3 linked regions of the Canis lupus familiaris genome follow. The protein of the gene in region 1 interacts with the protein of each later gene in a biochemical or structural test. Links are inferred from orthologs where the notes say so. Each region holds a gene or a part of one and is shown on either strand. Other genes may lie near its edges. The genes, in order: NPR3, NPPA and NPPB.

Region 1 (3,648 bases):
AGGGCTCAAGGAAAGAGTTAGCATGATGCATCATCAGTCATTGGCTAGTCTGACCCCTTTGTACAGGTAATGAAAGAGAAGCCCAAAACACTGTGTCAGGGACTAAGATGCAGGTCCTGAACCCTGGTCCAGCAATCTATACTCTGTATCAAGGCGTTTTAAATGACACCCATCCACATGATCCCCATAAGGTTAAAAACTCCAGAAAGACCATGTCCCTCAAAACCTTCTAGTTGGCTCTGTATCTCACTTAGGGTGGAACCCAAAGTCCTCAGCACAGCTTCCAGGTGCACAGGATCTGCCCTCTACCCACCCGCTGCTTCTCTGAGGGTGGCTACTAACACACTGCCCCTCACACGCTGTGCTTGAGCCACACAGGCCTCTTCGTTCTTCCAGGGGAACTCAGCACTCTCTCTCTCAACAGGCAATGCAAGGTCTTTGTGTTTGCTGCTCTGTCTAGAATGTTCTCTCCTAAATATCTACATAATTTCTTTCACTTCCCTCAGGTCTCTACACAACTGCAACATTATTAGAGACCTTCCCTGGCCCCTGTTCCTTAAAGTAACAGTCCTCCTACCACCCCCTCCTGTCACGTTCTGTCTCCCTACCCTGCTTTCTGATATAGCCCCAGAAATAGTGTATTTATTTGTTTGTCATCAATTCCTCCCCAACTACCCTGAAAGTTCAGTTGATTTCAGGGAGGTTCTTTAGTGCACTGCTGAATCCTCAGCACTTTGAACAATGCCTGGCACACAGTAGGTGCTTAAGAATATTTGATGACTGAATGAATATGAAGTTGATAGCTCCAAAGCTCCAGCAGCTGGATCATTCTCATTGACTCTCATGTCAATTTTCTTTGAGTGTGTCAGTGAAGTGAGAGGAAACAAGCACTCTGTATGCTGTTAGCAAGAATTTAGACTAGTAGACCTTGATATTTGACAATATTTAATGCACTTTCAAAGGCACTAAAAAAAGACACCAACATACATTTGGACCCAGATATCTCATGACTAGAAATGTTCCCTGTCAGATGTACTCGCAAATATTCATCAAGACGTATAAGATGCCTGTGATAGCATTTTGCATAACAGCAAAAACTGTAAAAAACTGAAGTTATCCATCAATAGGAGACTGATTAAAGGGATCTTTGTGCAGCCATATGGCCAAAATCCATGGAACTATCATTTAAAAATGTGCTGAATCTTTGAGTGCTCGTATGGCAATTTTTTTTTACTTGATATACAATTTTAAAAAGCTGAGACGAAGAGTGGCATTCATTATATATTCCTTTTGTACAATTTTTTATAAGATATACAAATGCATATGTGCTGGCAGAAGGCACAAAATATTTTTAGACCGAATCATAGGAAATTGTTAATAGTGGTTACGTTAGGGAAAGGAGACTAGGGTGGGAAGGAAAACTTTCGCTTTTCATTTTGTACGTTTTTGTACTGTTTAAATTTTCCAGCCAAGAACAGTCTCATTCTCGTACAATTTTTAAGTGTCAACAGAGGTTGCTTGAGTGATGAGATTATAGGCCTTTTTTTTTTTTCCAAGGTTCTTACACTTCTTTGTCCTTAAGAAAGCCCACAGCTGATATTTACCATTTTAAAAGTAAAATAAAAGCACAGGACTTGACTGGACTTGCTTACCATCTCAGACCACCCAGGATTGAACAGATAAATATATTACCTGGTATAATTTCTTTTAAAACATCACAGAACTCTTCACAAACTGATTATTTGTTGTGAATGAGGCTTGCGATAAATTTAATTTGAAGAAGCAGAGTTGTTATCTAAAAATCAGAAGGAGACAAGGCACTTCCTGTTTCAGTGGGACTCTACCAAAGTGCTTTCACAAGCTTTCTCTCATTTAATTTTCACAACAAGCCTGTGAGGTGGGTTGATCTTGACCTACTCTCCTTACTTCAAAGCTGAGAAAAACAAGAAACTGACAAAGTACCACAGGTGCAAGAGAGAAAAGCAGAACCAGGGAAGAAGCAGCTGGATCGCCTGCAGTGTTGTCACCTTACAGACTGAATCCTCACCTTCAAAGGTTCTGTTCCAAGTCTGCTGGATAATTTTCCCTCCATCCTTCTTGCTGTAACCAGCTCTGAGTACTTCATGTAAAGCCAGAACATAGAGGAGGATGGCATCGTGGAATCCTTCAACAAACATGTTAACCTGGAAAGGAAACCCCAGTTGGGTGAGCCCAAACACCAACGTCTCAACATTCATGAGTCATGTAGGCAAATCAAAACAGCTAACAAGTTAGACTTGAGGTCCACAAGCAGTGGCAGAGATGAGCAGAAGAGTAGCTAACAAGAATCACGCCATGGTTTTCCTGGCCCTGGCTTAGAAGGAAAACCATACCTCAGCTGGGGACTTTGGAAAGCAGACAAGATATTACAGAAGTCGAGGAAATTGTACCTGTTGGTGAGGCTAAGTATTCCAGGTGCATCTGCCTTTGGCCTCTACACAGGTGCCCTCCTCCTTCCTCACATCTGTTCTCTACCTCAAGCCAACTGAAGCCCAACCTCTCCCTTGAGGTCTTCACCATCTTCAACAGTCCCCACGATCTCTCCATGCTCTGAATGTGACACTGACTGAAAGAACAGTGCAGGTCCATTCATTCATTTTCAGACACCATTGAACACCTACTCTAGGATTCAAAAGGATTCAAAAAAGAGTAGGCACTGCCATTTTAACCTGCCCAGCATCTGTGTCCTCTCTTCCATCTCAGTTTCTCTTTCCAGCTTGTGTTCATAGTGGTTCCTGAGCATCTGACCCCTCCCTCCCAACTCTGGACCCACCCCTACCCTACTAAGCTCTAACAACAGGAATGGAAATAGGCCTGGACCCGACCGGTTTATCCCAGCAGAGTTCTAGGTCAAATAAGATACCCCTTGTCCTCAAGAAACTTAAGTTGCAAGTACTTTGGGGGAAGTCACTTAATTTCTTTGAGCCTTGTTTCATTCCGTAAGTACCATTTGAAAGTTCTGATATTATATTTAAACCCACTGAACATTCATTGAACACGAAATGAGCAAATACAATCTTGAAACCGAGTAGCTTACAAATTCTGTATAAAGTACAAAAAATAAAACTAAAAACAAGTCTTATTTCAGGAGAAAGTGACAAGAATGGAATGCCATGGAGCAGAATGAATTCAGCATCCCACAGATGACCACTGTGAGTCTTGGGGAGGAGGCATTCTATGCTCTCCCCTAGAAAGAGATCCCATAGGAAGAGAGACACACTGACCTGCATCACCTCATTCAAATACAAGCATTCACAGCAGACACAGCCCAATGTCCAGTACTAGGTGGCCTCATCCGGCCCTTAAGGATGATGAGTTTTCATCACAGAAGCAAATATTTTGGATTTGCCAAAGCCCAGTGCTGAGAGGCCGTTTAGAATAATGGCTAGAACCTGGGCTCACTACTCAGCTTTGCCACTTCCTAGATGTGTTTCTCCGCAACTCTGAGCCTGTTTTCCCTATCTGGAAAATGAGGAAAATAATAGTACTTGTCTCATGAGGTTGCTCTTAGGTTTAAATGAATTACTAGATGTGAAAGATCTCCAACAGTGCCTGACAGAGTCAGTGCTCACAGTTAGGTTTTGTTGTTGTTATTGTGTACCTATAGAG
Region 2 (3,655 bases), on another chromosome or scaffold:
TGTTAAGTTTCCTCTTCAATAAATAAGTGCCCCGAGTGTGAGCAAAATCTGAAAAATAAGTGCCCTCTCCGTCCATCTCCTGGGGCATTTTCGGGATCTGTGATGAGGCCAGAGTGAAGAAACAAGATTGTGAACTGCAATTTGAGCCCCACCCACACCTCCAACCAAGGAAAAAGCTGGGGGTGAGGGCTGGGGAGGGAATGAAAGGAGAAAAAAAGTTGTCCAAACCCGCAGAATGCTCAACACCAAGGCTTGACCCTAATGTCAAGTGTGGGCTCCGGGTGGTAAGAATGTGCTGGTGTAGAGTCATGGTGTGTAGCAAGGGCACGGCTCTGGCCGTGCGGGAGGGAGGCCCTGCGTGTGTGCAGCAGGCGGTTGTGGGAGACCTCTGTACTTTCTGCTTAATTTGGCAGCGAACCTGAAACTGCTCCCCGAAATAGAGCGTACTGTGTTTGAAAGGAAGAAGAAAGAAACTGAGCGCTCTCCTCTCTGGCAAAAGGTAACCGGGTCCTCAGACTGGGAGAAGAAAGACCACGCCAACCACGCCACCCGCACGCCAACCACGCCAACCCAGACTTGGCTGCTGTCCGTGGTGCTGAAGTTTATTGGTTTTCAAACCCCTTTCAGTAACAGGTGAGTGTCTATGCTAAACTGTTAACGCGTGGGGTGGGAGGGGTGGGAAAGCCACAATTCAGCCAAGTTATCTACGTTTAGCATAGAACGTGAGAAACATCGCCAAGAGGCTGCAGCTTGAATACGGTCTCGGTGCTCGTCACGGCTCAACTTGATGGCAATGAGCTGGGACAAAGTTGAGTGAGAGACCCCAAGGGACGAGGGTCTCTCAGAGTCTGCCCCCGGGCCAGGGCCTCCTTTTCCTCCCTGGCCATTATCTTCAGTACTACAAAGAGAACAGACACAAGTTTGACTTGGTGACCTGGCTCTTTTGGAAAGGTCAATCTCACAGGACTGTGTTCACTTCCCACCAGCACCCCCCACCCCAGCCTGACAACGCCAGGAGTTTCACGAATGGGTGCACAAGTTGCTCGGTAAAAGTTAGAAGTCAACCCCGATGGCTTGCTTGCTTGCTTGCTTGCTTTTTTTCTTTTTAAGATTTATTTATTTGAGAGAAAGAGAAGAGCACCAGCACATCCATGTGTGCGTGAGGGGAGGGGCAGAGGGAGAAATCTCAAACAGACTCCCCGCCGAGCATGGAGATGGACATGGGGCTGGAGCCCCACCTGGAGCTCGATCCCACAACCCATGAGAGCATGACCCAAGCGGAAATCAAGAGTCGGGCGCTCAACCTACTGAGCCACCCAAGCACCCCAACCTGGTCATGATCATTTCATCCTTTGGGATCTGGCAATTCTGGGGAGAAACATGAACTACCGATCAGCAGGATGAAGGTGATTTGGCCCCATGAACATTTTAAGTTCCCAGTGTTCATGGCAGTACCTTTTTTTTCCCTTAGAGTATCCTTGGCAGCCTGTAGCTGAGGATGAGGTCATTGCCCCAAGTTGGGGCAAGCATTTCAAAGGAAGTAAGCTTCCACCCTGGTCTCTACTGCAGGAGGCATGCCCTGGCCGGACTTTTTGACAGGGTGAAACCACAACTAACTTCCTCCCCATCCTGTATCCATCCCCAGCATCTCTTACCCGGAAGCTGTTGCAGCCCAGTCCGCTCTGGGCTCCAATCCTATCCATCCTGCCTCCGAAGCAGCTGGACCTCCGCAGGCTCCGAGGGGCAGCAAGCAGGGCTCTCAGCTTGCTCTTCAGGAGGGCAGATCTATCGGAGGAGTCCCAGGGGCTGCGCCCAAGGGCACCCCCATCTCTCTGGGCTGGGCTGACCTCCCCCGTCCAGGGAGGCACCTCAGGCAGGGGGCTGAGAGCTGCCCCAGCTTCCGCATTCTGCTCACTCAGGGCTTGGGGAGACTCGGCTTCATCTTCTAAAGGCATCTTGTCCTCCAAGCGGTCCAGCAAGTTCTTTACAAAAGGAACACACAGGGAAAGGGAGAGGTCTCACTGACCGGCACAGCGTCACAAGGCCCCCTGGCCCCGCACTGTGGCCCCTGTTCTGGCCCTACCTTGAAATCCAGCAGGTCTGCGTTGGACACAGAGCCGTACACGGGGTTAGCGCCCGTCTGCCCCAGGAGCTGAACTGCCAGGAAGAGGAGGAAGCTTGCGGCGATGGGGGAGCCCATGCTGGCGTCGCTCGAGGAGTGGCCCGGTGCTTGCTGCTCCCCTGTCCTCTCGCCTCCCTCTCTCAGCCTCCGTCTGCCTCTGTCTCCCAGCTGCCCTGCGCCTCCTCTTTTTATAGCCCCCCGGCTCTCCAAGAGCACAAGAGGGACGGAACCCTCCCCATTCTGTCACTTGCAGCGATAAAGCAGCTGAATGAGGAGCAGCAGAAGATGGCCTTTTAAAGCTATCAGGCCCGCAGAGCCTGTCACTACCCCTCCACCTTGAGCAGCCCAACAGCCCCGGACCCTCAGCGGCAAGAGCCACATTCTTGTTGATTTGCCTCAAGAGGTTCCCACTTCAAAGGTGTGAGAAGAGCAAAAAAGAGTCCTTGGTTATCTTACAGCGATGCCTGGGGCTTCTTTCTCCTCAGCAACGGGACCCACGCAGGGAGGCAGAGGGTGACGGTTGGCCGGCGCCCAGCTCCCCCGGTTGGTTTTCTGCTCAGCTGTCAGGGGCTCCAAATAAGGGCGGGAGGGGAGGAAGTGGCAGGAAGCCTGCAGCTCGGGACAAATTAGTCCAGATGCTCACGCTGGCCTCACACCTGACTCATCGGCCGTGGGGGCAGACCTCCCCTCCAGCTGGGCCGCCCTCGCTCCTGGCACTCGCTCTCAGCGGTCAGGTGAAGAGGGAGTTATTTTTTAGAGTATTAAATAGTCAGCCTGGAACCAAATGTGATGAGTGTCCCAAGAATTCAGCTCCCAGACATAAACACCAAGCAAAGTTTTGGAAACACAGCCATCCCTCCGCCAAGCCCCTCCTCCTTCCCCTCTGCAGTGTGGAGGGAGGTGGGTTTGTAGAGATGCCAACATTTTCATCCCATCACCTCGCTGCCCATAGAACCCCAGGCTCTGAATGTGAGGCTTCCGACGCCCCCAACCCTCCCGGGAAACCTCCCTTGGCGAGTCGGCGGGTGGGGAAGTGGCACACGGTTTCCCTTAATGCCTCCTGCGTCCTGCTGCGAGGCCACACGAGTGATGAGCCACCAAGGCCTCTGCTTTCCTGGCCCCAAAGAGAATTTACAGGCAGCAAGACTGTCCTGTCCACGTGTAACGAGTGGCTTCCATTCACTGAGCACCGAACTCCACATTGATGGATTGATTGCTTCCTACTCGATGCACCAGGTACCGGGGGGCAAATGCTAAGTGTGAAGGGTGGAGAGGCCTGCATCGTAGCCCCAGACAAACCGGGTTACACACATCATCACCGCCTCATTTTCCCCATTTGTAAAAACCTGCTCCCCCCACCAAGGTTGTCAGGTGAACTAAGGTGTGAACGCACCATGAAGGGCCATCTGTTTGCAAGATGGTACTGACGGTTACCTTTATTGAGCAGCTGTATGTGCCAGACGCTGTACCGAGAGCTCCGTGTGGATGACCTAACTGCCATCACCGCCCGTTCAGGGGGGCGCAGACTGAGGC
Region 3 (3,485 bases), on another chromosome or scaffold:
TGGGCCTTTTTCGGACACGTCTACACCTCTGGGCTTGAGACATGGAAATACAATTAATCTCAGGGTTTTAAAATCCTTCCCAGGATGACATCAGGAATCGAAGACTGGAGGCTGAGGTTTGGGGCAGAGTGGAGAGCTCACCCCCATTTAGAGGTGCGAGCAAGCCAGCGTGCCTCGCACCCACACACACGGCCCCTAATCTCTGAGATTTCCGCTTAGCCTTCCTGGAAACAAAACCACCGACCGAGGAGAGCGCGTCCGATCAATTGATCGATCGCACAATTCCGGGCAGAGGGGAAACTAGTAAAGCAAAGGCCGACACACACCCTCGCTTGCACCAACGAACGTATCAGGGCCCATTTCCACTCCCAGGGAGAAACCACCACTTTGAAGAGCAGTTCCTGCAAAGTGTCTTGAGTGCTTGGGGTATTTATAGACGGTTCCAGAGCATGAAAAACTCTTCAGGAGAAGGAAGGCGCCCCCGCTCCTGCTTGACCAGCCCTGACGCCGCCGTGTCCCCACCCCGCCATTAAGACATCCTTGGAAGCTTCAAGAAAACAAAAGGGTTTGTGGTTTGGGGGTTTTGTTTTTTTAAATGATGTGTTACTTTTAATGCACAGGGACAAATCGGTTTCAAAAGAAGCTCTAAGGTTGACTTTATTTCACCGTGGAAAATCCGTGCTCGGGGATCAGAATCATCTTATATAAAACAATCGAAATAAATAAATAAATAAATACGAATAAATAAGATCTGCTTCCAAGGGGCTCAGGGGGCTGCTGAAGAATCCGATGCAGATGTCTGCAGCCGGGACTTCCTCTTAATACTTTCTCAGCACTGTGGGAGGAGAGAGAGGGGGATGATGGCGTCAGGTGGGAGACTGAGGCAGGATCCGAGCTTCCCAAGCCCAGGAGCCATCCCTGCCACCAACCCCCACCCTCAGCCGATCTGGATGTTTGAGGCTTTGGAATAATCCATCTCTCTAGACCTCAGTCTCCTCCTCTGTTAACTGGGAATCATCACTGCCCTGGTGACCCTGACCTCTGCCTTCGTGGCTACAGACAGACAGAGAGAGCTACGAGGACGATGTTTAGGACTCTTTCTGCTCCAAGGAGATGCTTCCAGACAACGACTGGATTCCATCCTAAGATGATTCTGCCCCTTTGGGTGCGAGAGGCAGGAGGGGGCTAGGAGGTGGGTAGGGACCCTGGACAACGATGTCCACACGTAGTATTTCCAGAAACGTACTCCTTGGCCCTTAGGACTGTCAGCAAGAAGGAGCGATGTCCAGATGTCCTTTCCTCAGAGTGTGATCCCCCGAGACAACAAACCCAGAAGGGGTTCCAAGGGTCGAACCCAGGGGGCTGGGGAGGGGGAGCCAAGGTGGCAGGGAGGCGGCTTACCATTGCAGCCCAGGCCACTGAGGGAGCCGATCCGGTCCAGCCTCCGGCCAAAGCACCCTGACTTGTGCATCATCTTGGGGCTGCGTAGTCTTCTCAGGGCCTGGAGGACACTGTCATGGGGTGCAAGGACCCCCACGGGGCGTTCCTCCCCGGCCTCCGGGGCTTCTGCGGGGCTGTGGCTCCGGTGCAGGGGTTCCAGGGCCAACTGCTCTGCCTGCAGCTCTGAAACTGCGTCCTTCAGACGGCCCAGCAGCTCCTGCAATGGACGGCCTGAGCCTCAGGAACCCACGCCGGGGCGGAACCACCCTTGCACCCAAGTGAAGCCGCCGCCTTGGGTATGGAGTCCTGGCACCCAATCTCGTCACTTTCTGATTCCCTTATCACTAATTCCCAAGGGAGACTGAGGACTTGGGACAGTGGCTAAGCCCCCGTGACCTGCTGCCACCCGCCGCGGCCTTCAGGCAGGCTGAGCGCTCACCTGCACGGCCCACAACCCCGAGGCTTCTGAGGCTTCCGAGGCTTCCGAGGCGGGGCTGCGGCCGCCCAGCGGGTGGGGGCGGCCTCCGAGTGGCGACAGGTGCAAGAACAGGAGGAGCAGGAGGGCCCGGGGCAGCGCTGCGCAGGGCTCCATGTCGCTGGAGAGAAGTGGGGAAAGAGACGTCCGGCTGCTGAGCTGCTGCGCTGCGACCGGGGTCGAGTGTCACCGCTTGGGGCGGCGGGTGCTCTCCTGGATCCCGCGGCAACGGGGGCTTTTTATCCCTTATCCCGCGCCTGGGGTTATCTCTGATTTATCGGCCGCATTCCGGCCGGCTGAGCTCAGGGCGGGGGAATGCGCCCCTCCGCGCCTGCGACCATACCCGCCGGGGTGGAGGCTGGAGAGCAGGCCTTGTATAGAAGTGGGCCTGGCCCCCGGGGGGGGGGCAGGAGGGGGACACCAACAGGTCCTCGGCCTCCTCCGCTCCCTCCTTCCCTGCCTTTCCTCCGCCCCCAAGCATCCCTGGAGTGCGGAGAGACAGCTCCACCAGTGCGGGGCGCCGGGGTGACTCAGAGCTGAGGAGCCCCAGCCCGCAGCCCACCCGCGGCGCGCCCCCCTCCGCGTCCCCCCCTCGCCTCCTCTGCGCTGCGCTCCCCGCTCCCCGGGGCCCGGCCGCTGTCCGTGGTGCTGAGCCATCTGAGCAAACTCAACCCAAAAGGTCTTGGCTCTTCTCCCCTCAGGCCTAGTTCCCCACTCAGGTCCAGCCAGGAAGACAAGCATGGAGTAGGGACGAGACCCTGAGACACCGCCCCCCCCCCCCGCACCCGCCGCCTGCACAAGGATGCTCATTTTCCAATGTCATCTGATTAAAAGCCTGAGCATGACAAGGAACTTCTGGAATGCTGACCCTGCTTCCATCCCTTACACGGTAGGGCTTGATTTGGCTGGAATTTTGAGAGGCAAAGCCCAGAGATGAAGTCACCCAGGAATGCCGTCTATCAAACCTCCTCCAGGTGCCAACGCCTCCTCTCACCCCCCCACCCCCACCAAGCCAACATAGGACAGGAAAAAGGGCAAAGATGACCGGAAGATGGTTATCTATTTGGCAGGACACTAGAAGTGTGGGGAGCACCCCTCCCCGGTGCCTCCTTCATCTGACCGTCCATGACCTAATTCCTGTTAGCAGATGGTCCCGGCCTCCTGTCTGTGATCACAAATGAGGCTGCAAAGAAAAATGGCCCTGGGAAGAGACACAGCAGATTAAATCTCCCCTAAAGCATGCATGACTGATGTCACCACCCCTTCCAGATGCCTTGTGTTGACAAGCAGCAGGATGAGAGAGTGAGATATGGGTGACGGAGAAAAGGCAGCAAGAGGCAGAAGCTATGGCCTCGAAGCAAATCTTTCCTTAGAAAAATAGCATCTGCCAAACATGTGAGAAAAAATACTGTTACCGGTTTCCATTTTTCAAATGAGGGAAACTGATTCTCAGAGGAATTGATCTGCTTTCTCAGTTGACAAGTGGTAAAGCTTGGGTTGCAACCCAGGCAGTCTGACTCCAGACCTCATGCTCTTAATCACTGCCAGGGTGACGGCAAGACAGAATTAG

What was found.
Region 2: the proteins of NPR3 (region 1) and NPPA form a complex in vitro, tested with the Homo sapiens proteins (4 studies listed by BioGRID, with this or other methods). The link is inferred for Canis lupus familiaris from reciprocal best matches to the Homo sapiens genes NPR3 and NPPA.
Region 3: the proteins of NPR3 (region 1) and NPPB form a complex in vitro, tested with the Homo sapiens proteins (4 studies listed by BioGRID, with this or other methods). The link is inferred for Canis lupus familiaris from reciprocal best matches to the Homo sapiens genes NPR3 and NPPB.

What each region holds. Positions count from the first base shown.
Region 1 is NC_049225.1:75,721,572-75,725,219, forward strand, and holds part of NPR3 (atrial natriuretic peptide receptor 3), read right to left. Parts: intron 2,184-3,648; coding exon 2,048-2,183; intron 1-2,047. UniProt on the Homo sapiens protein: Receptor for the natriuretic peptide hormones, binding with similar affinities atrial natriuretic peptide NPPA/ANP, brain natriuretic peptide NPPB/BNP, and C-type natriuretic peptide NPPC/CNP.
Region 2 is NC_049223.1:83,881,265-83,884,919, reverse strand, and holds NPPA (natriuretic peptides A precursor), read right to left. Parts: upstream 2,376-3,655; 5' UTR 2,201-2,375; coding exon 2,084-2,200; intron 1,983-2,083; coding exon 1,656-1,982; intron 899-1,655; coding exon 893-898; 3' UTR 577-892; downstream 1-576.
Region 3 is NC_049223.1:83,871,071-83,874,555, reverse strand, and holds NPPB (natriuretic peptides B), read right to left. Parts: upstream 2,277-3,485; 5' UTR 2,033-2,276; coding exon 1,880-2,032; intron 1,658-1,879; coding exon 1,402-1,657; intron 836-1,401; coding exon 819-835; 3' UTR 632-818; downstream 1-631.